4 linked regions of the Caenorhabditis elegans genome follow. The protein of the gene in region 4 interacts with the protein of the main gene of each other region in a pairwise test. Each region holds a gene or a part of one and is shown on either strand. Other genes may lie near its edges.

Evidence for each region.
Region 1: the proteins of toca-1 (region 4) and fbxa-156 interact in a two-hybrid assay, tested with the Caenorhabditis elegans proteins (one large-scale study listed by BioGRID).
Region 2: the proteins of toca-1 (region 4) and pqn-87 interact in a two-hybrid assay, tested with the Caenorhabditis elegans proteins (one large-scale study listed by BioGRID).
Region 3: the proteins of toca-1 (region 4) and rsy-1 interact in a two-hybrid assay, tested with the Caenorhabditis elegans proteins (one large-scale study listed by BioGRID).

The regions. Positions count from the first base shown.
Region 1 is NC_003283.11:17,894,088-17,900,258, reverse strand, and holds fbxa-156 (F-box domain-containing protein), read left to right. Parts: upstream 1-3,472; 5' UTR 3,473-3,497; coding exon 3,498-3,505; intron 3,506-3,617; coding exon 3,618-3,824; intron 3,825-3,869; coding exon 3,870-3,956; intron 3,957-4,005; coding exon 4,006-4,642; intron 4,643-4,686; coding exon 4,687-4,887; 3' UTR 4,888-5,029; downstream 5,030-6,171. Other genes in the region: fbxa-157 (F-box domain-containing protein), read right to left, coding at 1-70, 116-322, 424-431; C06H5.13 (FIP (Fungus-Induced Protein) Related), read left to right, coding at 2,513-2,713; C06H5.12 (FIP (Fungus-Induced Protein) Related), read right to left, coding at 5,274-5,474.
Region 2 is NC_003280.10:12,217,206-12,224,156, reverse strand, and holds the start of pqn-87 (MATH domain-containing protein), read left to right. Parts: upstream 1-2,523; coding exon 2,524-2,564; intron 2,565-3,514; coding exon 3,515-3,627; intron 3,628-3,767; coding exon 3,768-3,862; intron 3,863-4,113; coding exon 4,114-4,299; intron 4,300-4,491; coding exon 4,492-4,766; intron 4,767-5,308; coding exon 5,309-5,447; intron 5,448-6,434; coding exon 6,435-6,904; intron 6,905-6,951.
Region 3 is NC_003279.8:11,214,794-11,224,604, forward strand, and holds rsy-1 (Arginine/serine-rich protein PNISR), read right to left. Parts: upstream 7,203-9,811; 5' UTR 7,183-7,202; coding exon 7,137-7,182; intron 6,996-7,136; coding exon 5,968-6,995; intron 4,459-5,967; coding exon 4,278-4,458; intron 3,349-4,277; coding exon 3,100-3,348; intron 1,846-3,099; coding exon 1,580-1,845; 3' UTR 1,384-1,579; downstream 1-1,383. Other genes in the region: ins-36 (INSulin related), read right to left, coding at 124-298; Y53H1A.2 (C2H2-type domain-containing protein), read left to right, coding at 7,606-7,614, 7,716-7,796, 7,848-8,180, 8,897-9,046, 9,109-9,180.
Region 4 is NC_003284.9:1,517,572-1,524,290, forward strand, and holds the start of toca-1 (Transducer of Cdc42-dependent actin assembly protein 1 homolog), read right to left. Parts: upstream 3,917-6,719; 5' UTR 3,824-3,916; coding exon 3,791-3,823; intron 1-3,790. UniProt on the Caenorhabditis elegans protein: Plays a role in protein trafficking, actin organization and embryonic morphogenesis. Potentially acts as a cdc-42 effector. May play a role in hypodermal P-cell nuclear positioning.

The sequences.
Region 1 (6,171 bases), on a different chromosome or scaffold from region 4:
TTTATCCAGAATCATTGTTTGAAGGTAGTTCGTAACAGATTTCCATTCTTTCCTCTCTGATGAATAAAATCTGTAATAGTTACTCTCATACTTCATTGATTGAAAAAACACGAACCTATCATATGAGTCCAAGTTCAGACTTCCATTTGAAAGTCCCATATACCAATATTCAAAATGGAGGTATTCCATGAACTGCTCACCAAATGCCTTGCACATTGCTTCGTATGCATCGAGAACTGGAATTTCTTGAAGAAGTTGGAATAGGATACAGATTCGCAGTGCTCGTGAGTCCGTGACGATGCATTTAACTTTACGATCGATTCTGAAATTGAAGTTATACTTTTCATTGGAGAATACAAAGTTCGTCTTTTTTCCATCTCAGATTTTGATTGAAATTAAAGTTGGATAAAATGAAAAACTTACTGATCCATTGAGACTGAACCGCTCGAATTTTCCCTGAAAATTTCTTCATCATGGCCGATGTTAAAAATTACCAGGAACGTTTTGACAACAAAAAATAAATTCGTGATTTCATGGGCGGTGAAGAGTTTTTTCACGAAAAATTAGACTTTCTCAAGTTTTCATAAAAGGTTTTTTTTTTTCGAAATCGAGAGAATCAATAAACTAGCTAAAAATTGACAACAGTGAGAAGAGAAGAGAAAATTTCAAAAATTGAGGTAATTTTTTAGGAAAAAATATTGAGGAAAATTGGGCAATGATTTAATGCTCTGAGCAATTGGAAAAAGTTGGTGAAAGTTGGTGGAGAAGTGAGCAAAGTTATTTGGAAAGTGGACGAAATCTAATGGCAGTTAGAAAATGGTTACAGTTGGTTGAAAAGAGGCCACGGGTTTACGAGCGTAGTTTTCCTCCGATTGTTATCAGTATTCCTCATAAAAATGTGTGAAAGGAAGTGAATAGAGCATTTTATGGTTTGAGATGGGCTCATGTGACTCATGGTTTACTACTATTTCTAGTGAAAAAATAGAGTGAAAAAATAACAATTTCTTTATTTTTTGGCCACTCGTTCACTAGAAAATAGAAAATAACGAAATAATCTCATTAAAACCTGTAAAATTGAAACTTTCACCCACAGCGCAAGATGTACAGAAACGCGAAGTTTAGCAAGCGCGCTCTAATAAATATTTGGATTAGAGGAGAGCGTGTCACTCTGTAATATAATAATCTTTTTTAAAAGAAAGAAGGCAAATTCACAATGTTCGATATATTTATTCCCAAAATAACAACATGATTTATTGAATTACTTAGGATGTGAATCCTCCTCCAGGAATAGTTTGTCGATCTGATCCAGCAATGAATCCACCAAATCCTGCTTTTTATCAGATGATGAAAACACCTGGTCCGATGTGCTTTCGAATCTATCCTTAACTTCGTTAAGCAATTCCGTCAAGTAACGAGTTTGATCGTCGATACTCACAACTCTCCCAGTGTTCTGGCAAAACCCAAAGTTAGCAACACAGGCGATAAGTACAAGAAGGTAGAAGATGAAATTCGCGTTGAATGATGTGTCCATTCTTACAGGGCTCTTTTTATATGGAACACTGACAAAAGAGGTATCCAATAAAAACATTTTATTCTGGATTTTCAGACATTCCTTTTGTAATAGTTGTTTTCAGTATACAACAATACTTCACAAATATCAGATATTAAATTTATCCAACAATTGTAATATACATATACAATAAAAAGCATGAATGAATTGTTGAAAACATTCTGAGTGAGTGAAATTGAAGATATGCAAGCTAATATGTAACTTATCTGACATGACCATGTGAAGTAGGCTATTAAAGGTAAAACATCAATGTTCAGAGGTATCGTTACAAGTATTTTTCAATTCAATTGTTGGATAAATTTAATATCTGATATTTATGAAGTATTGATGTATTCTGAAAACAGATAATACAAAAGGTATATCTGAAAATGCAGAATAAAATGTCTTTATTGGATACCTCTTTTGTCAGTGTTCCATATAAAAAGAGCCCTGTAAGAATGGAATAGTCACAATTCATTCAACACGAATTTCATCTTCTACCTTCTTGCCCTCATCGCTTGTGTTGCTAACTTGGGATGCTCATTGGAGGTTCCAGTTCCAGAAGTTCCAGATGTTGGAGCCGTTGAAAGTTTCTGTATTCTTAGTGGTTACAAAAATACAGTGACGGTTCCAGACTGAGCAAGTGCAAGTGGATGCTGTGTTGCAAGTGGTGACTGGGCTTTTGGCAACTGTTCTTCAACTTGTGACATCATTGACTTCCTCAGTTGGATCAGTTCCTGGAACCTGACAAAAGAGATATCCAATAAAAACATGTATTACAAACATATTTTTGTAACTAACTGGTGGATAAATTCGAAAATTGTTATTTTGATGTTTTTGAAGTATTGTTGTATTCTGAAAACAGATAATACAAAAGGTATCATATATCTGAAAATGCAGAATAACATGTTTTTATTGGATACCTCTTTTGTCAGTGTTCCATATAAAAAGAGCCCTGTAAGAATGGACACATCATTCAACACGAATTTCATCTTCTACCTTCTTGTACTTATCGCCTGTGTTGCAAACTTCGGGTTCTGCCAGAACACTCAGAATGCGGCCTCTAATATTATCGGACACGCAACAGGAGCTCATGGAGGCGCCACTGGCGCTGCTCGAGGTGCTGTGAAAAGTGTTGGAAATCGTTGGGATCCAGATGATTAGTAGCTTTTTGATGCACTCTGTCGTATTTTTTGGGAATAAATATATCGAACGTTGGGAATTCGTCTACTTTCTTTTATATAAATTATTATGTTACATAGTGACACGCTCTCCTCAAATCCGAATAACTATTAGAGCGCGCTTGCTAAACTTCGCGTTTCTGTGTGTAAAATTTTCAAAATTTCCAGGTTCTTGGTGGATTATTTTGCTGTTTTCTATCAAAATTATTTGTTGAGAAGGATCAGACGATTCGAAAATAAGTAAAATTTAACGATTTAAAATGAAGACATTTTTTACTCTACTTTTCACGAGAAACAATGTGGTAAACCATGAGTCACATGAGCCCATCTCATCGACGAAACCATAAAATGCTCTATTTACTTCCTTTCACACATTTTTATGGGGAATACTGATAACAGCTTCAATTTTTGAAATTTTCTCTTCTCACTGTTGTCAATTTCAAGCTAGTTTATTGATTTCTGTCGAAAAAGAGACAGATTTTAATGATTAATTTTGTTGTTTAGTAGCAAATTTTAAGTTATAATGAAACTTTTGGAAATTATAGGCATTTCGAGAAAAATACCTTGTATGAAAATTTGAGAAAGTCAAATTTTATGTGGAAAAACTCTTCATCGCCCATGAAAGTACGCATTGATTTATTTGTTACTATGCCTGTTATTTGTCACTATGTTCCTGGTCGTGTCGTATTTTCTTTACCTTGATTTCCTTGTTAACAAAAAGAAGTAATTAAAAAGTTTGCAGGGAAAAATCGAGCAGTTCAGCATCAATGGACCAGTAAGTTTTTTTTTTCATTTTATCGAACTGCAATTTCAAACAAATTATGACAATGAGATGGAAAAAAGACGAACTTTGTATTCTCCAATGAAAAGTATAACTTCAATTTCAGAATCGATCGTAAAGTTAAATGCATCGTCACGGACTCACGAGCACTGCGAATCTGTATCCTATTCCAACTTCTTCAAGAAATTCCAGTTCTCGATGCATACGAAGCAATGTGCAAGGCATTTGGTGAGCAGTTCATGGAATACCTCCATTTTGAATATTGGTATATGGGACTTTCAAATGGAAGTCTGAACTTGGACTCATATGATAGGTTCGTGTTTTTTCAATCAATGAAGTATGAGAGTAACTATTACAGATTTTATTCATCAGAGAGGAAAGAATGGAAATCTGTTACGAACTACCTTCAAACAATGATTCTGGATAAACTGAACCCAATTGATCGGTATAAATTGATTGCATAGTTTTGTTTTGTAAATACAAATTGTTTTCAGGTTTACTGCAGGTGCGGTTTGTTGTAGTTTTAAATCTATAATCGATTATCAACGTTCTAACTTGAAGAAATTTCATATTTTTCAAGAAGAAAATAACGTTTCTTTGTATATGAACGATAACCTTGTGACCTATGAATTGGACGATGATGACTGCCTTGTGACTTATGAAGAACGGGAGCTTCTTGTTAAGAACAAACGGCCATTGGAGGTTGCTATGAATGATGCATCAAGACTTTTGAAGTGCAGAGGATTAAATCTGGATTATTTCTACGTTAATGGAGTTAAGGACGAAGGGCTCATTTTATTTGATGCTCTTAAAAATGTACTTCAATCAGTTGGAGTCTTGACGACAAAATCAGTATTGATCAATTGGCTTCCTTCTGTTCAAATTGCTGAAATTCTAGAACACTTCAATACTGAAATTTTAGAGGACTTGACAATTAAAAGTAGCGAATCCGATGAAAATTCCATAAAACGTCTGGTGCGCCTTGAACAATGGAAACAAGCAAAGACTCTGACATTGTCTCCTGTTCCACATTATTCACTTATCGTCAAGCATCTTGCTCACTTCCAATCACTGAACTTTGACTTTTCTGAGGAAGCTTTCTCAGAAAATGATATCACCAGGCTTCGAGATGTGAGTTTACTATGATATGTGAATTTTATAGCATAAACTTTCAGGAGGTTGTTCTGGAATCAACCAAGTTTGAATATTTTACTTGCGAAAGAGTGCAATTTGATGCAACACATCTCCTTAGAGTTTTTGATTCACACTCCGCTCTAAATAGTTTGTCTGGATCAATTGTTTATAAATCTAGAAATGTAACATTCGACATTGCTTATCAACCGGATGGTTTCAGTATCAAGAAGAGAATCGACTAGCAACATCGAACTTGTGAATATTAGTATAATAATGTGTTAATCCTCTATGAAACTGTTTCACATATCTTAAATTATTTACTATATATGAAGCGCGCGTCGTTTTGTCAGTATATGTACAGTTTATGTACGTTTTCAATTGAATTGAATGCTTGCCAAATGTTGCAATTGGGTGAAGAACTGACGGAGCAAATGTGTCAAGCTGATACGTGAAGATTCTCCAGAGGCACATCAGTAGTAGGGGAAAACTATGAAACTGGCATTATATTCGGATTTATAGAGAGCGTGTCACTCTTTAGTATAATAATCTTTAAAAAATAAAACAGATGAATTCCCAATGTTCGATATATTTATTCCCAAAAAATACGACAGAGTGCATCAAAAAGCTACTAATCATCTGGATCCCAACGATTTCCAACACTTTTCACAGCACCTCGAGCAGCTCCAGTGGCGCCTCCATGAGCTCCTGCTGCGTGTCCAATAATATTAGAGGCCGCACCCTGGATGTTCTGGCAGAAGCCAAAGTTTGCAGCACAGGCGATAAGTACAAGAAGGTAGAAGATGAAATTCGTGTTGAATGATGTGTCCATTCTTACAGGGCTCTTTTTATATGGAACACTGACAAAAGAGGTATCCAATAAAAACATGTTATTCTGCATTTTCAGATATTTCTTTTGTATTCACTGTTTTCAAAATACAACAATACTTTAAAAACATCCAAAATATCAGATATTATTAAATTCATCCATAAATTGTGATTTGGAAAATACTTGTAACAATACCTCTAAACATTGATGCTTTAGCGTAACCAGTTGAAATAAGCATTCTGAGTTGACTAAAATGAAAGGGCTATATGATTACAGACAATTCATCTGACATGAATCTCTGAAGGATATATCAATCAAGACAGCCTGAAAGCAATTAGTCGAATGATTTTGTGACAAACTATGTAGCTTTATATTTTGTCTGTATGTATTGCTACGATTACTACTTTATGATGACTACAAGTTCAATACTATGAGTGTTAATGCTAGTGTTTTTGCCATTTACAATTGATCAATACATTTAATATCTGATGTTTTTAAAGTATTGTTGTATTTTGAAAACAGTGAATACAAAAGGAATATCTGAAAATGCAGAATAACATGTTTTTATTGGATACCTCTTTTGTCAGTGTTCCATATAAAAAGAGCCCTGTAAGAATGGAATAGTCACAATTCATTCAACACGAATTTCATCTTCTACCTTCTTGCCCTCATCGCTTGTGTTGCTAACTTGGGATGCTCA
Region 2 (6,951 bases), on a different chromosome or scaffold from region 4:
GACCAACGCACTGAAGGATTATAGGTTCTCGTTGAACTCGATTTTTTGGTTTTTTGAGTACTATTTCCAGTACCAAAACGAAATTCCTTGGTGTGTTTGTCGCTGAAGAAAAATGAGAAGAAGATACCGTAATCGTTTTCCGCCATCTCTATCCGTTCCTTCGTCCTTGCCACTACTTTTTTCCCCATCTTGTGGCCAGTCTCAGACAGTCAGCCGATCCATTCTTTCCACGACGACGACGACTCCTTTTATAACAACCATTCGAGAATCAATCCAATTCGCGAAATTGGGGTTTTTGATCCGCCCGCCGCTGTCACCTACACAGGTTTTTCGCCTTACTTCGTTCAAATGAGCGAGAACTTGAGGGGGGAAATGAGAAATTCTCATTTTTTGGAATTTTTGTGCAAAAGTGTCGCATTTTTTCAACAAAATATCCCAGTTTTTCCAATTCTCGGGGATTTTCTACGGTCACAATACGGCATATTTATATGAAAATTACGCCCGGAGGTTTTCCTATGTCACGGCCAGAAATAGTCGAATCATTGATTATATTTTTCTGAGAACGGCAGGAAATTCTGGAAAAGAGTACATGATTTGAATTTCCTCATTAGGAAAATGCAAGATTCCTTGGAAGATTCAATTTTAATACTACGGCAGTGTCCATTTTTCCGTTGTTCTCGCTTTAAATCATATTCAAGTGGTGGCAGGTTGTCCCATCACGGTTTGATCTACAAAAAATTGCGAACTCTGCGGCTTTTCTCCCGCATTTTTTGTAGATCTACGTAGATCAAACCGAAATGAGACACTCTGATACCAGGTGCATATTTCGGTTTTGTTGTTCCTAAATCCTTAAAATACAGGATGTAGGGAGGCACGGTCGCCTTTTTCCAATTTTTTTTGGGAATTTTGTTAGATGCCGAGAAATGGTGTCGGTTTTTCGATTTTTGGAAAATAAAAACTATATAAAAAAAATCATATTTTGGTTAATTTTCTGAGCATTTTTAGTTTTTTATCGAAAATTTTCGATTTTTTATAATTCGAAAAATCGAAATTATTCGTTTTTCGACTTCAAATCTTAAGATTTTCCCTCAAAAAAAAAAAATTTTTTTTTTGTTAAAAAATCTTAAGTTTTTTTTTCAAAAATGTCGAAAAATTAAGTTTCTCCACATGATCGTACGATTCACAGGACCCTCGATGATGCAACTACTACTACTACTTCTGCAGCTACTGCTGCTGGCGGCTACTTGATCGATTTCCGACGTGTCTTCTTCTTCTTCATCGTGTCTCTCCATCCCTCGCTTCTCCTCTTCCCCGCGTCAATGTGTGTCTATATGACCGTCGGTTGGTCGGTGTCGCCCGACTGCCCCCCGACCGCCGCCGCCAATAGCATCAGCAGCAAAGACTTGTGCGTCGTTTTCCCTCAGTCTCTCTACTCGCGTTCGGTTTATCCGACACGCTGTCTCGTGCTCTCTTGGATTGTCGTGATCTCTCTCTTCGCCGCTCGCTCTCTCTCTCTTCAACAATAGTTTTTGGGTCGTCGTATACCTCCTCCTTCTCCGGGTCTCTAGTAGTCCGCAGATTGTCTTCGTTTTCTCCCCCCATTCCGTTCCCCATCGATTTACGAATTGATTGATTTTTTTTCGACTCGTTGCGGTCGGCTCGGCTTCTCTTGTTTGCTCGTTACTTTTGGACTCGTGGCGAACTTTTTAACGGGAAAATCTTCTCATTTAGTGGTAGATAGTCAGTTTTTTTAAGTCAATTTGAGCTGCGATGGAGTAAATTATCTGCAAAAAGTCACAGAATCCCAAGAATTTTCACTAAAATTTCAGAAATGTCGGTAATTTTTTTTCATTTTCAGAAAAAAAAAGCATGATTTTCTTTAATTTTTAAAAAGTGAAATTGTGTAAATTCAAAGTTTTCGCACAAATTCGAATATTTTTCACTGTTCAGTCCACTAAAAATTTGAAAAAAAAATTTATTTTTTCTATGAATTCCACACTTTTCGTGGTTTTAAGCGATAAAATTGCGAAATCTGCACGAATTTCGCTTTTTCGCAGTGAAATTCAATTAAAATGTGGCAGTTTACAGCAGAACGCTAAAGGTTTGAGCTTTATGTGAAAATTGAACACCTGTCGGGTCTCGCCACGAAAATTAACCTGATATCTGAAAATACATAGTTTGTTGAATTTTGTACTCGTTAATTGCGATTTTCCGAGAAAATTGGTTTTTTTTAATCGTAAACAGTCGCTGCGGGACCCAAAAGGGTCTAAAAATCTCGGATTTTTCCCCATTGATTTTATTCAAAATTCTCAGCTTTTCTCCTCTCCAACCCCCAAAAAATCCTTCAAAAACCATCAAATTTTCCAGTAAAAAAACACCGTTGCGATCGATTTTCGACTCAAATCAACCGACGAGCAGCAGCAGCAGCACCGTATTCAATTGCAGTTCGTTAGTTGCTTGAAAGCGCGAACATCTAAACCCCCACGGAACCCCCCTATACAATCCAAAAAAACCACACAAAAAATGGAAGGACAAAGTGAAGTTATTCAGAAGAAAAAAGCCAGGTAAGAGAGAGAGAGAGAAGAGACGCAGAGAAACACGGACTGATGAATCATTATGAATAGAATCGGGCCGTCGTCGTTGTTGTGTGTGGGTGTGTGTGTGATATGATGAATTACCAGTCACACAACTATGTATAAGGATGTATAACCGAACCGGTTTCTGCGGAACATTGGTCTTTTGCACTGAGAAAGTGAAAAAAAAGTCCAGAAAACTAGAAAAAACCATTGAAAACCAATTTTTCCACAAAAATTACAGAAAATTTAACTATTTTTCACATTTTCCTCTCAGACTGCAAAATGCGTGGAAAAATCTATTATTTTTGATAATTTGTCGTTAAAAATCGATATTTTTCATCTTTTTGTAAAAATATCACTGAATAAAATATCACTGAATGAAAAATGAATTAAAACACAATTTTTCCACAAAACTACAGAAAATTGGATTATTTTTCACATTTCCCACCGTTTTGAGCAATTTTTTCAATATCGAAACTCCAAATTGCTTGGAAAAATTGTTTTTTCCACGCATTTTGAAGTCTGAATACTGAAAAATGCTTGAAAACAGTGGGAAATGTGAAAAAATTCCAATTTTCTGTAGTTTTTGTTGAAAAATTGATGTTTAATGTTTTATTCAGTGATTTTTTTTACAAAAAGATGAAAATAAAATCGATTTTTTAACGAAAAACAATCAAAAATTGATGTTTTCCTTCATTTTTGATTTTTTATTCTGAAAAAGTTGCATATTTCACAGGAAAATTAGTAAAAATTGATTTTTCATCTGAAATTCAAAAATTTCTAGCGTTGAAAAATCGATTTTTATTGGTGAAAAACGTTAAAATTACCGAAATAATGTTCAAAACCGCTAGAAAATCATAAATTTCGGTTATTTTATATGATTTTTTGGAGAAAATCGCATGTTTCTGCTACAAAAATCCTCAAACTCGATATTTTAGAACGAAGACAGGCTGTGATGTTGGATGTCAGACGGAGCAAGGAAGTCCCAGTGTGTTTCAACAAATGAGCCAGCTGATGTCCTCGTCCACGTCACATGTAGGCACAGGCGCAGGTAATATAATTGCTGAAAAATTGGTAAAATTCGAGAAAAACCCGAATTTTTGGACGATTTTTGCTTTAAAAATTTATGAAAATTGAAGAAAATGCGACATTTTTCGCGTTTTGAAGCATTAAAAAAAATCAAAATTTCAGTCGACACAACATCGTCATCTGCATCTGCTTCCGGAGCATCCACGCCAGCCAATCAAGCCGCTTCCTCGTCGCCAGCACCATCGGGAGCCCCAGCAGTGAGTTTTGAGCGAAATTTGTTCAATTTTCTGTGTAAACCACGCGAAAATTGCGTAAAAATCAGATAAAAACACATCAAAATTGTTGATTTTTGGGCAAAATTCACTGAAATCAACGATTAAAACTATGGAAAATTTGACAATTATCAATTTTTCGATTTTTTCATGTTTTTTAGGCATTTCCCGGCGGTTTTTTCGAGAAAAAGGAATTCTGAAGTTAAAATTTTGAAAAAAAACGAGAATTTTTCCAGGCCGATAAGAAGCTAACCGGACCGGCAGGCGTGAAGCCCAACGAAATTGAAGCCTATTTTGGTGAGAAGAAGCCGCCGAGTCTGAATAGTTCGACGAACACGACGCAACCACAGCAGGCAGGCCAGACGACACAGAAGGCTCGTGCCGCGTCGACGACTGGCGTCGTTGGTGAAGGAAAGAAACAGGTTTGCTAGTTTTTTGTTTTTTTTTTTTTGCTGAAAACCAGGAAAATTTCTTATAAAATAAAATTTTGAAACGGTTTTGCGATTAAATTTCAAAAATTTAAAAAAAAAAGACTTTAAAAAGACAAAAAATCCCAGAAAATTAGATGAAAATCCATTTTTATTGAAAAAAAATTCAATTTTCGCCCCTTCCAGAATTCGAACGCAAACGCCTCCTCATCAAACGCCGCGGCCGGTGCGACAAACGGAAAAGCCGTCGATGGACCATCATGGAACGACGAGAACTGCAAACTTCGGCTCGTAATCAATCGATTCTCGCAGTTGGAGGAGACAATGTGCTCGCCGCCAAAATCGATCGAAGGTGTCTCGTGGAAGATAATGGTGATGCCGAAACAGCATATGGTTCAGAAGAAACAACAAAAATGCATGGGATTCTTCCTGCAATGCGCACCCGAAAGAGCCTATTCTGAGTATGTTGGAGAGCCCGGGAAATTCGAGAAAAAAACGCGAAAAATTGTATTTTAACTGAATCTGTGTCGAAAAAAGTGGAAAAATACTGCAAAACTGGGCGAAAATCGCATTTTTGGCCTGAAAATTGTCATGTTTCGATTTAAAATGCTCAAATTAATAGAAAAATCGAAAGTCGAAGTTTCCAACTTCGAATTCCCAATTTTAAGCTGAGTTTACCATTTTCACGACTGAAATTTTGCCAAAAATTACAAAAATTCACATTTAATGCTTCAAATTACCATTTTTAATACAAAAATTTGCTGTTTTCGCCATTTTTCTTGGCAAAAAACACAAAAAAAATTTAATTTTCGGTGAAATTTCTTGAAAAATGACATTTTCCGCTTCCAAATTACCATTTTTAATACAGAAATTTGCTGTTTTTCGCCATTTTCAGGGTCGAAATAATGCCAAAAATCCACATTTTCTGTGAAATTTCCCACCCAATTAGCATTTTTTGCCATTTTTTCCCAACAAAAACCCCGAAAATTCACACTTTTTCCAGCCAATGGAGCGTCCACGCGATAGCCGACATGCGAATGATCTCGTACAAGCCAAACGTGCCCCACTTTGCCCGACGAACGACACATACGTATACATCGAAGGAAAACGACTGGGGTTACTCGTGTTTTATGACTTGGGCGGTGAGTTTTGAGGCGAAATTGATCCATTTAATGTGAAAATTTGACTAAAAATTGAATTTCATAAGTTTCAGGCGAAAAATATGAAATTTCAGATTTTTTTCAATTAAAAATACCACAAAACCGATGATATATTTTATAAAAATGGTTTTTTTTTTTTTGAAATTCCGCCGAATTTATCTCATTTTAAAGGTGGTGTAGTCGAATTTTTTATTGATTTGTTTGATTCAAAATTGTCTGAAAACACCGAATTTCATAATGAAACTTCTTGAAAACTTCTCAAAAAAAAAGTTATGACGGCTCACAAAATTGCCTAAAATTAGTTAAAATTTGAAATTTGACTTGTCAAGCGGCTGGAAACAATTTTTTTTTTGAAATCACCGTCAAATTTTGAGTATACAATGTAATTATCTTGCGTTTTCAACTCTGATTTAGGTATTTTAAAGTCGATGGACGGCGAGATTTGGTTTTAAAAAATTAAAAATCTCGCCGTCCATCGACTTTAAAATACCTAAATCAGAGTTGAAAACGCAAGCTAATTACATTGTATACTCAAAATTTGACGGTGATTTAAAAAAAAATTAGTTTCCAGCCGCTTGACAAGTCAAATGTCAAATTTTAACTAATTTTAGGCCATTTTTTGAGCCGTCATGACTTTTTTTTGAAAAGTTTTCAAGAAGTTTCATTATGAAATTCGGTGTTTTCAGACGATTTTGAGTCTAATAAAGCAATTTTTAAAAAATTCGACTACACCACCGTTAAAACATCTGAAAAATGATGATATATTTAATTAAAATTGAATTTTTGAAATTCCGCCAAATTTATTTCATTTTAAGCCGCTGAAGTATCAAAAATTGAGTAATAATACTCAAGCTTTTGACTAAATTTCACTAAATGTTAATTTTTCAATCAAAATTACCAAAAAAAGGCGTTATTCTCTGAAATTTCAAGTTTTTTGTTAAAAAAAAACCTAACTCATAACATTTGCAGGATATCATCGACGAGGCACAAGGCTACATACGTGATGATACCGTAGTACTGGAGATTGCTGTGAAAGCAGAAGCACCGAAGAACATGATGACACACGAGGACTTTCTTGATAAGATCAACAAATGGATAGTTCTGGCCGATATGCAAATGAAAAAGAACAATATAGATCTCGCGTTGGAAGCCAATCAAAGTGCCATGAAGTTCTGTAAGGGAAAAGACGAGGAATGCTATCAACGTCTCGAAACTCAACGGGAGACATTTGTGAATGCGAAGCTTTTCGAGAGTATCGAGAGAATTGAGAAGGGTCCTGTAGTTTGTACGGATACGACTCACGGAAAACCAACGTCACTTCGACAGGCGCTAACTGGTGCTCAGAAATCGTTGAATGGGAAAATGACGGCGAAGGGTGGAAAGAAGGCGCGTGCAGTGGTCACTGTTCAGCAAATGAAGAAGAAGAAGCCGTATGATCAGTGAGTTTTTTTTTTTTGGAGTGGGTGAAAGTTTCTATAATTATCTT
Region 3 (9,811 bases), on a different chromosome or scaffold from region 4:
AAGCTAAGCATTTTAGTAAAACATCGAAATATGAAAAACGTGTGGGAAAAGTTAGTGAAATAGTATGTATTTTCCTTTTTTTTTGTTGGAAAATTTCAGAAAATAGCAGTCAGGCTCACTTACCATCGAATTTTTCGCATTTTTCCTTACAAATTGTCCTTGAGTACATGATAAGATATCTCTTACAATCCCTAATAACCAATTTCCCTTCTGGGTGTCTTTTCCGGATTGCTCGGCTCAAAATTGATCCGAAAACGCAAAAGAGCAGGAAAATTATGGAACATTTGCCTATGTTCATTCTGGAAAAAAAACAACAATTTTTCTATGAATTGAATTGTGAAAAATACAATATTATTTTTTTCAAAAAAAAAAAAGTTTAAGAACAAAAAAATTTGAAAACTAATTTCAGGCCGTTCCAGGCCGAATTTCAGGCCGTTTAAAAAATTAAAAAAGCAAAACATTGAAACAATTTCGAACAGTCACAAATTGATAAAACATGCCAATACTCTGCACAAATTCATATCAGTTAGAAGAACTATAACACATAGTTTTTATGGCTAAATGAAATAAATAGATCGAAGGTTAATAATTCTATTACAGAAAAAATACGATCGCACAAAAATAAACAACGACGCAACGACACTCCGCTGTTTTTAAGCCCCGCCCACGATTTCATTTGCACTGCGACCGCCACATTTCAGTGCAAATGAAATCGTGGGCGGGGCTTAAAAACAGCGGAGTGTCGTTGCGTCGTTGTTTATTTTTGTGCGATCGTATTTTTTCTATAATATTCTGAGTGTAAGGAATTCATGACCGACCTTTGCTGCATGGCCTAGAAAATTCGGGAAAACTCGGCCATTGATTTTTGTCTCGTGAGAGGCGTTCAAAACTGATAATTCTAGTCAATCTGTTGAGGAAAATTCAAACTTCAATTTTTCAATGTGTTTTAAATTTATTAGCGAGAAATTTAAATTTTACAAAATCTTGGCGCTAATTTTAAATAGAATTTTTCAAAAATTTCAGCGCGGAATTCAAATTTTGAGGGAAATTAAACATTTTGGCGGAATAATTAAAATGTTAAATTCCATGATTTTTGCGAAAAATTTGAATTTTCGAAAAAAAAAATTGGTGCGAAATTTAAATTATGTGTATTTTTTTCAAAAATTTAGGCGCGAATTCAAATTTTAGTAATTTTTCCAAAAATTTTAAATATTTCAGCGGGAAATTCGAATTTTCAAAACAAAAAATTTGGCGCGAACTTCAAATTATTTTTAATATTTTAGCGGGAAATTCAAATTTTAGTTATTTTTCCAAAAATTCAGGCGCGAAATTAGAATTTATTGTGCGATTCTGAAATATGCTGAAACCAAAAACGAAAAAACAAAACTTCAAAATACATTAAGCAAAAAAAAATCAATGGGAAAATGTCATCATAGGTAATACAAAAAAATAATTTTTTGGGAGTTTTCCAGAAAAACGGGCGGCTTTGAACAATGAGAATTTGGAGCAAGAAATTGGTGGAAAAAATCGGCGGTAAAAATCGGAAAAATCAATAATTTATCGTTAAAATCAATAAAAATCAACGTCGACTATGCCGATCCCTGTCCCCCCGATCCCTCCGACGTTCCGAACTTCTCGACCGTTTTCGACGGCGATCCCGTTCCGAAGATCGGCTTCTCGATCGGTGATTATGTCGTGATGAAGATTGCTCTTTTTCACGACTTTTCGATCGTTTTTTGCTCTTTTTACTCGATTTTCTCTCCTTCTCATCGTCTCTCATCTCTCGTTCTCTCTTCTTTTCCGACGACGATTTTTCCGATTTTTTATTATCGCCGTTTTTTGAATCTGAAAATTTGAATATTATTTCCGGAATTTTGTGTGTAGATTGTGTAGTTCTATGTAGTCTAGAGAATGACTACAAACTACAAAATCACATCAGCCTCAATCAAGGTTCAAACTACAAACTACAGACTTTTTGAAAGGAAATTTCTAAATATTTAGCCGAAGACTACAAACTACAAAATCAGCTTAGCCTAACCCAAAATAGTAAAATCCCAATATTTTGACTACAAACTACACGTTTGCGAGTGAAAATTTCAAAAATTCACACTTTTCATTTGTATTCTTTAAAAAATGAGTAAAATATGAAGAAATCTAGGTTGAGGCTGGGAAATATGTGTAGTTTGTAGCCTCAACCAATTCAAAAATTGGTTGAGGCTCACAGACTACAAACTACAAAATTAGAAAAAAAAAATTTTTTGGATTTTTATTTGGATTTTCAGAGATTTTATTGAAAAAAGAAAAGAATTTTTGAAATTTTTTAGATAAAAAGTGAGATTTTCCCGAAAAATCTCTGCTAAAGTGAAGAAAACTTGTAGTTTGTAGTCTCCGGCCTCAACTATTTCAAAAATTGGTTGAGGCTCACAGACTACAAACTACAAAATGAGCAAAGCCTCACCAAATGTTCAGGAATGTTCAGATTTTTTTTTGGATTTAAAAAATAGATTTTTCGAGTTCTAGAAGCGGTTTTAACTGAATTTTCAAAATTTTTCAGATTTTCCGAAAATTTCTGAATTTTTAATCCAAAAAAAGTGGAATTCCAGTGGGTTTTTTGGAATAAAATATTATTTTTTTTGGCTGAAAATTGGCGCTCCGAGACTACAAACTACAAAACCATTCTGTCCCAAAAATCCAAAATCCCAAATGTCCCAAAATCCCAAAAAATTTCAGTTCAAATTTGGCGGAAAAAAGTGAAAATTGTGAAGAAAACTTGTAGTTTGTAGTCTCCAGCGCGCCTCAATTATTTCAAAAATTGGTTGAGGCTGAGACTACAAACTACAAAATAACATAGCCTCACACAAATATTGAAAAAACATTTTTTTTTTGCAGATTTTCCTGAAATTTTTGAATTTTTAATTCAAAAAAGTGGATTTCCAGTAGGTTTTTGAAGTTTTTTGGCTGAAAATTCGCGCTTTAATAGACTACAAACTACAGAAAAACACATTTTTGACGCTAAAATCGGGGAAAAAATTAGCAAAAATGGTATTTTTTTCAACAAAAAGTGAATATATTTTTATATTTTTCATTAGTTTACCTTACCTGGAACGTGTAAATCATCAACACCTTCACCATCATCATTAACTGATGGTTTGACATCATCTGTCTTAACACTAAACTTTCGAGGGATACCCACGGGAGCCTTGAACTCTCCACCACCAGCTTCTGGTGTTCCTGCTTCTGCTGCCCCTGATGCTCCATTTAGCTCCGCCGAGCCACTGCTCTCCTGCCGTGGCTCCATGTCGTCGCCAACTCCATCGTCACTGCTGTTGTCACTATCCTCACCGTCTCCTGGAAAATTTGAAAAATTTGAATTTTTTGAAATAAAATTTCAAAAAATATGACATTTTAGCTCTAAAAAACGTTTTTTTTTTTAACTGAAAACTCAACTTTTTTTTTGCAAAAAAAGGCTTTTTTTATTTGAATTTTAGTTTTACAATTTTCGAGAAATTGAAAATTCACATTTTATGGAATTTTTAATCGAAAAAATTGAAATTTTTAAACTAAAAATTCTTTTTTGGTACATTGTTCGAAAATCGTTTTTTATAACGAATATTTAATTAAAAAAGCTTCTGAAAACCGATTTTTTCCAAAAAAAAAAAATGTTTTTTTGAAAACTTTTTCTGAAAAATTTGAATTTTTAGGAAAAAGAAGAGCTTTTCAGGAACTTTTTGAACACAATTTTTATATAAAATTAAAATTTTCTGGAAATCTAAATTTTCGCTATTTTTTTTTGAAAAATTCGATTTAAAAATCAAAAATTTTACTTTTTTTTTCGGAAAATCTCAAATTTTTCAACCAGAAAATTCGATTTGTTTCAAAATTGTAACTGTTTTAAATTTAAAAAAAATATGGAAAATTCGAAAATTTTAGAAAAAAGTTTTTAAAAAATGTGAAACTTTTGAAGACAATGTTGAAAATTTTCGTTTTTCGAATTTTTTAAATCAATTTTTAAAAAACTTTTTGAAATTTTAGCTCAAAAAACTCGATAAAATCGAATTTTTTTTGTTTAAAAAAATTTCGTCGAAAAATTGGAACAATTTATGAATTTTTTATGAAAAATTATACGATTTTCATAGCTTTTTGGAAGAAAATTTCAAAAATGTTAAAGTTTTCGGTTTTTTTTAAATTAAAAACTTGGAAAAAACTTTTAAAACCGAATTTTCTGGTCAAAAAAATTGTTTTTTCCGAATTTCGAATTTTCGCGAGCTTCTCCATACCAAAAGCCGCGAGAGCCGCCAACGCTGAGCTGTTGCCGATGATTTTCGGCGCAGTTGCCAATTTTTTCCGTTCAAATTGAAGTTTTTCGTGCTCACGGAGCTCTTCTTGTATTATACGCATGATGACGTCATTCGAAGACTCGAGGAGCACGTTCATCATTAGAGTTTTCACACAGCGTATCTGGAAAAAAAATTTCGAAAATTTTTTTTTTGAAATTTTTAAGAGGTTTTTCTCCACTTAATGGACCTTTTTTAATTTTTAATTCAATTTTTTTTTTTCAAAAGTTCTGTAGTTTGTAGTCTAACAGCCTCCAAAAACGCGAGCCTCAACCAATAGATTTTTTGAAATTTTATCAAAAATTCGGTTTTTATTGCATTTTTAAAGGTTTTGACTGAAAAATTCTGAAAATCTTGGGAAGATTTTAAGGTTTGTTTTCGAAATTTTTGTAGTTTGTAGTCTAGCGGGCATCAAAATTATAAAATTTTTGAAACAAAAAAATTTTTTTTACCCGAATTTCAAAACTTTTTAGAAAATTTTTTAAAAAATCTTGAAAAAATTGAATTTTTGAAAATTTAAATTTCTGTGAGGCTGTCTTAAAAATTGTAGTTTGTAGTCTGAGCCTCGACCAATTTTTGAATTGGTTGAGACTACAAACTACAAATTGTCATATAGCCTCAACAATGTTTTTTTTGTAAATTTTATCAAAAACTGGGTTTTTTATTGGAATTTTTATGGTTTACGCTGAAAAATTGAGAAAACCTAGGGAAAATTGTTTTTTTTTTTTAAATTCATGTAGTTTGTAGTCTAGCTGGCATCAAAAACGCCAATGTCTACTAAAATGTCTAAAATTTTAAACTTTTTTGAATTAAAAATGAAAAAAAAAACGATTTTTTTGCCGAAATTCAAAAGTTGTATTGAAAAATTTATTTTTTTTTCAAAATTTAATTTTGGTGAGGCTACCCGAAAATTGTAGTTTGTAGTGTGTGAGTCTCAACCAAAATATTGGTTGAGGCTGAGAGGCTACAAACTACAAATTGTCATAGCCTCAACCAATAGATTTTTTGAAATTTTATCAAAAACTCGGTGTTTTATAGGAATTATTTTTAGGATTTAGGAGTTACACTGGAAAATTCAGAAAATCTTGGGAAAATACAATTTAAAAAAAAAAATTTCTGTAGTTTGTAGTCTAGCCGGCTAAAATTTTCAAATTTTCAACATTTTTTTGAAATAAAAGTAAAAAAAGAAACGATTTTTCCTCGAAATACAAAAATTTCATTGTAAAATTGATTTTTTTGTTCAAAATATAATTTTGGTGAGGCTACCCGAAAATTGTAGTTTGTAGTGTCTGAGCATGAGCCTGAACCAACAAAAATTGATCAAATTTCGTCGGTTTTTTCTCGATTTTTTTAGCAATTTTCTCTAAAAATTCAGAAAATCTTCGACAAATTTTTGGTTTTTTCTCAAAATTTTTTGTAGTTTGTAGTGTGTGAGCCTCAACCAAAAATATTGGTTGAGGCTGAGAGACTATAAACTACAAAGCTGGATTTTTTTTTTCAAAAAATTGGTTTTTTTTCTCAAATTTTGAAAAATTTCCTCTAAAAATTTAGAATATCTTCGTTTTTTCTCAAATTTTTTGTAGTTTTTAGGTTTTTTTTTGCGGAAATTTCAGGAATTTAGAATTTCCCGTACAAATTGCTCTCGTCTCTCCTCCAAATCGTCTTCCGAATCATTATCATCTTCCTGATATTCAGATTTTCCATTACCAACAGGAAATTTCTCATTTTCCGGGCTCTCTTCATCCGACGAAGAGTCAAATTTGCTCTTTCCAGCTTCGGCTCTTCGCCGGGCTTTTTCTTCTTCCGCTTTCTTCAGCTTTTCCTCTTTTTCCCACTGCTTTTGCTTCTCCCGTTCGGCCTTTTCAAGGCCTTCCAGGATCCAGGCCGGCAGTTTTTTCCGGGCCTCTTTGTTCATTGCATACGGGTTTGTGGGCCCTGAAGCCATTAGTGGAGCCGGTGGAGGCACACCTTTCGGGCCAGCTTGGGCCGGGGGTTCCGGGGAATTTTGGTAGTTTTCGGGCTGGAAATCGGGCTGGAAATCGGGCTGCTGAAAATCGTGCTGGACCGAGGGGCTCTCCTGGAAAAAGTGCAGCTGCGGTGGTGGACGTTGAGGTGCTCCGAAGAAGCTTGGAGCACTTGAAGCCGCCGCAAAAAGTGGCTTAGGCTTTTGGGCCGACGGGAATAGGCTTTTCGGTGGTGGTGCCGCTGGAGCCTGAGGTCTTGGAGGCCCTGGGTAGTGCTCTGGAGGTCTATGTGGGCCTGGGGGGCCTGGAAAGTGCGGCCTTGGTGGCCCTGGCGGAAAATGTTGTGGTGGGCCTTGGAAATGATGTCCAGGCGGTCCAAAGTGTCCGTGGTGAGCTGGTGGAGGAGCTCCACGCCACGTGTCTGCTCCCTGTGGCGGTGGTGGTGGATATCCACGAGGCGGGCCTTGATTATGATATACGGGGGGCCCGGACGGCCCAGAAGGCCCAGGCGGCCCTCTCCACTGCTCGTCCCGATTCGCGGACCAATCGCCCCAATCCTGATGAGCCGGAGGGCCCGGATGACGTGGCTGATGCCACGGGAGCTGATGATTTTGAGCGAAATCGTGTGAATTTCCGGCTCGACGATCGTCTGTGTCGCGCATCGCCATCCATTGTTGGGCCAGCTGGGCCCAGTCGACTGGAAAATAGACGAAAATTAATTTTTAAATAAATTTAAAAAAATTTCGCGAAAATCTCGAAAAAAATCGATTTTTTCGTGTTTTTTTGCCAAATTTTTCGATTTTAAATTCAATTTTTCAATAAAATCACAACGCCATACCACTTTCCGCCGGCTGTGCCTGATGATAGTTGGTCCAATCTTCCATTTCCCTCGTTTTGTGATTTTCTGCAGGAAATATCGATCTTATTGGTTTTTTTTGGGAGGAAAAAGGTGGAAACTAGCATTTTTTAACAAAAATTCGAAATTTTCAGCTAGATTTTCTATTTAAAAGCTTTAAAAATGCGCTGAAAATATTCTAAAATAGAATTAAATCGAAAAAATGTCGATGGCCGTTCCTTTACACGAAACCTAGTCCACGGCCACGCGGCCACCGAATTTTATTGACGGCGGCTTTCTGTGTGATTTTCAGATACTTGAACGTGTTTTTTTGTTTGTAATGTGAAGAAAATGAATCGATATATTTAATTTTTGGAGAAAAGTGATTTTAAATTCCAGAATTCCTGCCGAAATCCGACGTTTTCCAATTTCGTGTAGAAACCCATTCGAGGGAACACAGCATGCGCCTTTAATGGCTACGGTAGGTTAATTTAATTTAATTTAATTTAATTTTTAGCAGCAATTTTCAACGATAATAGTTGTTTTTTGAATAATTTAAATTTAAATTTGCTTTTTTTTCAGATGACAGAAAGAAAACAGGATTTTTCCTGTCCAAACTACATGCTTTTCGGCGATGACTTCAATTTACAAAGTGGAATAGAGGTTTTTCCCCGAAAATTTCTGCAAAATCACTTTTTTTTTCCAATTTTTCAGGATATTTCCTGTTCCTCAAACTACACATCAGACGAAGATGGACCAAAAGTGCTCACTACAATGAGAAATATGTTTGCGGAGCAGAAAACCGACGAATATGAGCTGGTCTACGACAATAATTCGCAAAATGTGCCTCAAAATTGTTCACCGAAAAATCAATATTCGCCCCCGCAATCTGTGCAACAAGCTCATTATTCGAATTTATCACATTTTCATCCTAGAAATCCAGAATTTTCACAAGAAATCGTGGAAAATCGAGTAATTTCTCCAAAATCTGAGCATCCGGAAGAAATAGAGGATCACGAAGATGATGAGGATGGCCAAAGTGAAATGGTACTGATAAAAAACCCCGATTCTAACAATTTTTGCCCTGAAAACATGAAAAATCATCAAATTTCAGCCAATAGGACGAAAATTCGTTTGGTTGAGGCTCACAGACTACAAACTACAAACCGCAATCATTTTAAATAGGATTTTATTCAATTTTCGCTTAAAAATTAATTTATACTATTAAAAAACCTAATTTTCAGTTGAAAATCGTATTAAAAAATTCGTTGAGGCTAAAAAAATTGTAGTTTGTAGTCTGTTAGCCTCACCCAAAACATTTTCGACCAAAAAAAAAACGGTTTTCCCCAATTTTTTGTATAAAAATGAGTAAAAACGGCTATTTCATGATATTTATTAACTTTTTACGATAATAACCTTCAATTTTTACGAAAAAAATTGGTTGAGGCTAGAAAAATTGTAGTTTGTAGTCTGTTAGCCTCACCCAAAACATTTTCGACCAAAAAACTGATTTTTCTGCAATTTTTTTATATGAAAATGACTAAAAACTGCAATGTATTAAGCTTATAACTCACTTTTTCAATCCTAAAACACCAAAAACTAACGCAAAACTGGTTGAGGCTAAGAAAATTGTAGTTTGTAGTCCCTGAGCCTCACCCAAAACTATTTTCGGCCGAAAAAACCGATTTTCTCCCGATTTTTCTTATAAAAATGACTAAAAACTACAATTTCATGGATTTCGCCCAACAATTTCGAATTTTCAGAAGCACAATTGCCCGGAATGCCCGAAAAAGTACACATCGGAACGACGTCTCAAGCATCATATCGTTGTACACCGCAATCCGGACGCCTATAAATGTCAAAAATGTGGATATTGCTATCAGAGCCCAGATAGTCTCCGGAGACACTGGAAGGTAGCAAAAAAATCGAATTTTCACTGAAAATTTGACAAAAAATTAATTTTTTTTTGTTGCAGAAAACTCCGAATTGTGACGAGTTTCCGCCGAAGATTAATGTGAAAACAGAGATTTTGGACCCGGATTCATGAATTTTTAAAATTTTTTTTGATTGTTATATTGTAAATTACATTTTTTTACTGTGTACTATTTCTGACACTAACTCGATTTCCCAGTGGCCTTATTCATACGCTCATTTCATTGATTTTCTCGGTGCATATTTAAATTTTTATTCAGTTTTTGATTGACAAAATTCATTTTAATTGCAATTTATATTGATTTTTCAACGATTTTCTCAGTTTTTTCCTCAAAAATTGCCCATTTTTATGCGAATACCTTCATTTTTTTTTCACCCAAAATGTGTAGTTTGTAGTGTGTGAGCCGCAACCAAAATATTGGTTGAGGCTGAGAGGCTATAAACTACAAACTGACACCGCCTCAACCAAGTTTTTTTGTTGAATTTTGAAGCTAAAATCTTTTTTCAGAGTTTTTTGTGAAAATTTTAACAAAAAAAAAAACAAAAATTCATTTGAAAATTAAAAAATGTGAAAAATTTCACGAAAAACCAAAAAAAATCCCGTTTTTAATCAGAAATCATGAATATTTTCAGATTTTTCGGATAAAAATAACAAAGTCTGTAATTTTCAACCAAAAAATGTTAATATCAGTTTTTTAGCGGAAATTATAAAAAAGATCACTTTAAAAAAATGGAAATTACGTATT
Region 4 (6,719 bases):
GTCGTTTTCCCGAGGAACCCCAGGTCAGCCGAAAGAGAGATATAGATGGAGAAAGGAACAAAAAGTGCGGGAGAGTTGTGCCGCGCCGCACCGCACCGCTGTCGCACAATAATATTTCTCCAGTGGAGAGAGGCAGAGATCAGAACGGTGCGGAGAGGAAAGAGGACGTGGAATGGATTAAAAACTCATAATAAATGAGTGGTTGTTCGGGAGGAGAGCGGCGCGGAATCGGAGCGAGAGAGGGTGGAGGCGCATACGTTCCATTTGACGGTACCCTGTTACTTTTAACAGCTGGGAGCACAGGGCACCGTGGAGCAGCTGTAAGTAGGCACTGACGCTTCTAGAGAATTTTGAATTGGTTTTGAGTTTTGTTTAGTTTTACAATCAAGCTTTTGCGAGGCAAGACAAACTGTTCAAAAATACCAGGAAAATAAAATGTACTTTTTTTGGTTCTGAATTTTTAACTATACATAAGCTGCCTTTAAATTTTTAAAGAAATTCACTTTTTTGTACAGAGTTCTAAATCCAAAGTTGGGAAACTTTTAGTTTAAAACTGAAAATTGAGGAATTGCGTCAATTTGTGGAGCCTAACTATGTAAATCAAGGTACTTGGAAAAAGCTAGAATTGGAGCAAGAATTTTCAAATGTTTGTCCATTCTACGAGGTTGAGCTCATTAGGTACCTAGATTGACGACTTTCAAAATTTCAAAGAAAATTAACTAGAAAAACTGTCTCCATAATTAATTCAAAAGCAAATATGTATATTGTTTCCGATTCTCTAAGAAACCAGATGTACATACAAAACCAGCACACTTTCAAAAAGTTTGAGCAACTTAAATTAAGAGCTCATATAGTCTAATTTCCATGTAAATCAGACTTAAAGTGCCCCAAGCAAAAACTCAAACTTTGCAGAAAAAAGGTGCGGTGAGTGTCCAAGGCGCGGCGTCCTAGAAACTATCGCCAGGACGGAAGGGCGCAATCCGAATGCAATGTGATCTACATATACAATGAATTGTCGACCCCAACACCGATTGACGACGCGACTAGAAGAAGAAGAAGAAGTTAGAAGGGGGAGGAGGAAGGGAAAATGAGGGGAGATGAAGAAAAATGGTTGTAGAATTGAAATGGATTGACAGTAAGGCTGAAGAAGTAGGGGGGAATGGGGAACGGAAGCAGAATGACATTTTCGTTTTGAAATGTTCTCGGTAACTTTTCGACTATTACAGAAATTTTTCTCAGAAAACTTGAACATGGTGCATCAGGTAAAAAAATCGATATTTTTTGAAGGAGCAGCAATAATTTTGTCTAGAAAAATAAATCCGAACATGGTGCATCGACTGGAAAAGTCCGATAAGTTTGGCGGTAAAACCTGAAAAATATGTGAGAGCCAAAGAAATTTTTTGAACATGGTGCATCGGACAAAATTTGTCATAGGAAATGACGTTCTTTTTGGCATTTTATCATATTTTTTCAAACAGAGAAAAAATTTCACTTTACTAGCACAAATTTTGAATGAATAATATACTGATAACCCTTAATATGTATGTAAAAGTGACAAGTTTCAACCGTAAACTTAAAAATTGCTAGTGTAGTTTTCAGTCGATGCACCATGTTATAAAATTACATCCAAGGTTACAGGGACCCCACAAAAAATTTTCTTTTTAAAAAACCTTCTAATCTTATTGATAATTCCCTGCTAAACACAAATACAATCACAGAAAGTACGATTTTGGTGCCGAAAAAGGGAGAAAAAGAGAGTGAAGCTGTGTTTATTTGCGCTTTCCGCCCTTCCCCAACTACCGCTTTTGCCTATTAAATTGGCGAGAAGTGAACGATAAGGAAAGAGCGGAGAACCGACGATCAGAAAGTTTGTGCAATTTTATTAATAAAACTGTTCGGAACCATTATTATATTAAAACCAGGGCTCCCATGTAGGCGCCGCGATCCGACATTTTTTGGGTTTCGCGCATTGCTATTAAGATTTCGGATCCCGGCGTGAGGGCGGCGTTTGCGGCACCCACATGGGAGCCCTAATTGAAAATTTAAAGAGTAAATCGATAGAAAATCCAATTTTCAGAATTCATTTCTCAAGTTACATGCTCTCAAATTTTGAGCACTAGAAATTGAAGACAGTCTGCACTCTCCCCTCGTCCCACACTCTCTCGGCTTTAAGTTCTATAAGCTTGTATCTCTGCGGTAGATTACTGTTATAAACGACAAAAAACTGGCTGAAGTATTGGGAAAATTTGAAAGAAAAAAAATTTTGCTGTTTTTCTGAATCAAATTCAAGCACAAACTGATATGTTCAAAAAGATGTGTCATACTGGCATTTCTGAAATGTTCACAATTTTTCTGTAAACTGATAAGAAACTTTGGCGAAAAAAAAATCGGATTTTGTAGTTTTTAAGAGAAGTTTTTGAGAGAGAGTAGAAAATTAATTTTTTTGAAATCAATTTTTAAAAATACAACGTCTTAAAAAAGTAGGCATAATCAGTGTGAACGGACCAATTTAATAAAAAAAAATGTTTTTAAAATATATTATAGAAATTTCCACTCCATTTTTGAATTTTAAAATTAGAGCGCATTTACCAAAACATACTAACGTGCGCCCAGCAAACCCACTAGGTAACCCTGTTTTTTAATTCTGCGTCTCTCTCTCTCTCTCTCTCTCTCTCTTTCACTCTCTCTATACACCTCCCGCCACTCCTTATTAGTATCCACCTCTACATTAGCAACAAATGACTAATTCAAGTGTGTTCGGAGGGTGGGTGAGCCGCTTCCGCCGTTACTTTGTGATCGCCCGCCACCCCCCGATCTTGCTTACAACTACTAAATTATGTATGCGGGAGACGAGAAGGTATATGTGATATGCGAAAATGTATGTAGGAACGAGTAGAAATGTTTGGTGGGGGGGAGGGGGGGGATCATTAGATTTTATTAAAAATTTGAGAAAAATCCAAGGATTTTCCACATCGAAACTATAAAATTGCACTAGAAGTTGGCAAACGCCAAATTTCAAATTCATCCGAACTTTAGAAATTTCGGAATTTTACCGAATTTCAAAAAGTATCGGGACCGCCCATCTGTGATCATGCCAGTATCAGTACCCCAATATCGATACAAATGATATTATGGTCCGACATCTAACGGGTTTCGCGCCCCACCCAGGCAATTGCAAATAAAATATAGTGCGGCGCAAAACCCTGCGGACGTCTTGCCATGATATCAATTGAAATCCCTATTTTTGCATATTCCCAGAAAATAATCCTTAAAGTGGTTGGGCCCGGAATTTCGTCAAATTTTGGAGTTTTGAAACTGCGGCGGTCTCGAAAAATTCTAGGTTCTGGAAATTCGTGGCGTGGGTGCTTTAGAGCTGTAACAGAATTTGGAAAAATTTTATATTTCCAATTTTTTCCAAATTAGGCATAATCCTGGTATCTTGGAACTTTGACATATTTTTTAAAAGTTCAGCAATTTGAAGCAGCGCCCAATTTTGAAAATCTGAAGTTTCGTGCCATTTTTCTCATTTTGGTGGAAACCTTCTAACCTTTTCACAGTGTGAAGTGCATAACATTACAATTTTAGGCACATATGTACATACTTTTAATCAGTAGATTTTTTGAAATGTTGAACTAGGAAAAAAGGAGGATTCACGGTTTAGAATCGTAAAAAATTCAGCTCAACATTTGGTGATTTTGGCCATTTTTTTAGACCCGCGGTTTTTTCATTTTAGTAGCCTGTTTTCTTATTTTAAATTTTAGTTTTTACCAAGGATTCAATAAAAACTTACCCATAGCTGGTCCCAACTGCAACTGTCGTTCATTGTTCGCCGCTTCTTCAAAAGGTTGTTACCATCCAATCCAATCTCGATTCCTTCTTTTTATGAACACTAATTGGAACTTTTTCGAGTTGAAGTCTGAAAAAAAACTCAAAACGTTAACAGCAATGAGCAGCACAAAAAAGATCCGAACAAACGAGAAGGAGAAAAAAATTGAAAACTTTAGTTCGTAAATAGGAACAAAAACAGTAATCTAAGCTGTTGACGGTTGGGCGTGTCGTGGAGCAAAAATGGAGAGCAATTTGTGGTTGGTGCTCATGGCACCGGGAGGCGGAAGGAAGCATAGGTATAATTGTGGGGGCTCAGGAGGGGGGGGTAAATTTTTTGTGGAAGAGCAGAGTATTTGGAGTGCTATGGGAGGTTGAAAAAAGGTGGAGAAAATTATTGCAAAATTGAGAAATTAATAGAAAAAATCAAGCTTAATCAAAAAAAAAACATTTCGCTAAAACGTGCTAGATTATTCGAAAAATCGGAAAAAGTTTAATAGCCGAAAATGGCCTAAAACCTCCAATTTTCAAACTTTTCCATATGGTATAGTTCACGGTTACCAGGTACCAGAAATTTTCAGCTACCGAATTTACAAAAATAGCATCAGCAAATAGTGAAAAAATTAAGAAAATCAGCAAACAATTTTTCACTTATTTCCGTTGAAACAGGCTAGACCCCAAAGAAACATTCCAATCCCAAATTTATCCGAGAACAGCAACACAGAAAAAAACAAGATAGGCGGTCACGAGAAGTGGGGTCCGCGGTCAGCTCGAGCACCCAGCTCGAGCTGCAGCAGCTCGGACCTCGAAAAGTAGCTCCCAAGAGAAGAAGAAAAAGAAGAGACGCTATTTCTCGCCCAATAGCATATGTATACACATGTGTGCGTCTGCGTATCTTGCTATCTAGGATAGACCTCGGGGTCCCGGGGTTTTCGGAGATATTGATGAGCGAAAAATGAAGAGTTTACAACAATACGCACGGCGCGAGATACCTAGTCTAATCAATTTTTTTCGAATTACGTTGAGGGAAATCTCGTAATTTTGAGTCTGAAGCTAAGCCTGAAATTAGGCCCGAGCTTGCCTAAAAGCTAAAGGGTAACCTAAAAGCTTAGTCTGTACCGAGGGACTCAGTTTTTGAAGAAGGGCATTAAGCTAAGAGCGCAGCCTAAAGGCTTAGACTTCAGGTGCCCAGCCATTACTTTGGGCTTCTTTGGGGCTTGGCGTTCGTGGGCTCAGAATTATCCTTCAACTACGGGGCTTAACCTTCTTGGTCTCAAACTTTGAAGGATGATAAGCCTGACCTCAAGGATTTTAAAATAAGCCTAACCTCAAGGAGCGGAAAAAATGGAGATGCGGCTTTCAAGGGCTCAACCGCCTAAATGCCTAAATAAAGAAAGTAAAAGTTAGCCTAAATGGCTTAGTTTTTGAAGGCTCAACTTTCTGGGTCTCCACTTTTTGGCCCTGACATATATTTTAGCCTTAACTTCACCATCTGCCTTGGCCCGAAAAAAAAAAAAAAAAACCTAAAGCTGACTAAAATATATATATATATACTGGTTTCAAAGGACTTCCAAAAAAGCCCTACAATCACTCTCAGAAAAAACTACCCAAAAAATGCTATGCTTGTCGTACCCGACGTTTCTCAAGGTAATATGCAAAACAGGCCTCCTTTTGTCCCCCCTCCTGCCTCGCCAATCTTTCCATGGCCAAACGCAAAAGTTCAAGTGACCCGCCAAATCGACGACAACACATAGGTAGTCGTGTCTCGGAAGGTTGAGTAGAAAAAAAAGAAGAATGGGGAAAAGGAGGCGAAGAAAATGTATTCGGAAGTTAGTAATGAAAGGTAGTACACCTAAGACAAGGTGACATTGGGACTGAGAATCGGTGACAAGGGGGTAAAATTCGAAAAATTCGGAGTTGTTCTAGTCTAACTAGAAAGTTGGAAAGTTGCAGCTTTGGTCAATGCAAACAAAATGTTGGTCAGTGCAAATCGAAATTCAAAAATTTCGAAAAAGATCTCCTAATCCTTCCCGCATGTCAATGACATTTGGGCTCTCAGGAGCAGGTGTTCCGGCAAATTGTGCATTGCAAATTGACCAAACCGCATTTCAAATTCAATTTCCCATTGCAGAGAAACAAAGAAAGGTGTCAAGAGATTAGGGCAGTGATGTGAAAGGCTTAACTGAAATGAATCAGGGAAATGTTGATAAATGAGGTAATTGGAAATGGAAACATGGAGCTTGGAATTACAAATAAATTATACACTTGTGATTTTGAGGCAAATTTTAAAATATAAAGCAAAAAAAAAAACAGAAAAATCGGTCGTTCTATTTTTTGAAAGGAAAGTAATTCCAGAAAAGCGTCTGGAACTCGATAGCATTTACCAACACCCAACTAGCTTCTCATTGGTTTTGCCACAACCGCAAGACTACTTCATCCGAAGCAAATGGCATATATTGCGCAATGAATCAAAATCCACACAAAAAAGTGACAGAAGCTACCGTCAAAAGTAAGAGGGGTGCGATAATTATACCCCACGCCGGCTTTCACCTCCATACTCATTACAACGGTGCCCCCCAAAGCACTGTATACACACGTTTTCCATGTGTTTGATGACTAATGATATTACTGTTTTTTTTTCTGAAATTATATTATTGCTATACACGTGTTGCTGCGTTTAATTGCACAGGTGTATTACAAATTGAAGAGAAGGCTAGGAGGGTAGATGGAGGTAGTTTTAGTGAGTGAATATGATAAGAGCCACATAGAGTATAGAGTGGGTGATAAAAACTAAAAACAATAAATATTTCCTGTAGACTTCCTTAGAGAATTTTAAATCGGCCAAAGTGGGGGTTGCTATAGATTAAAAAAAATTTGTTTCGCACTGAACAAAA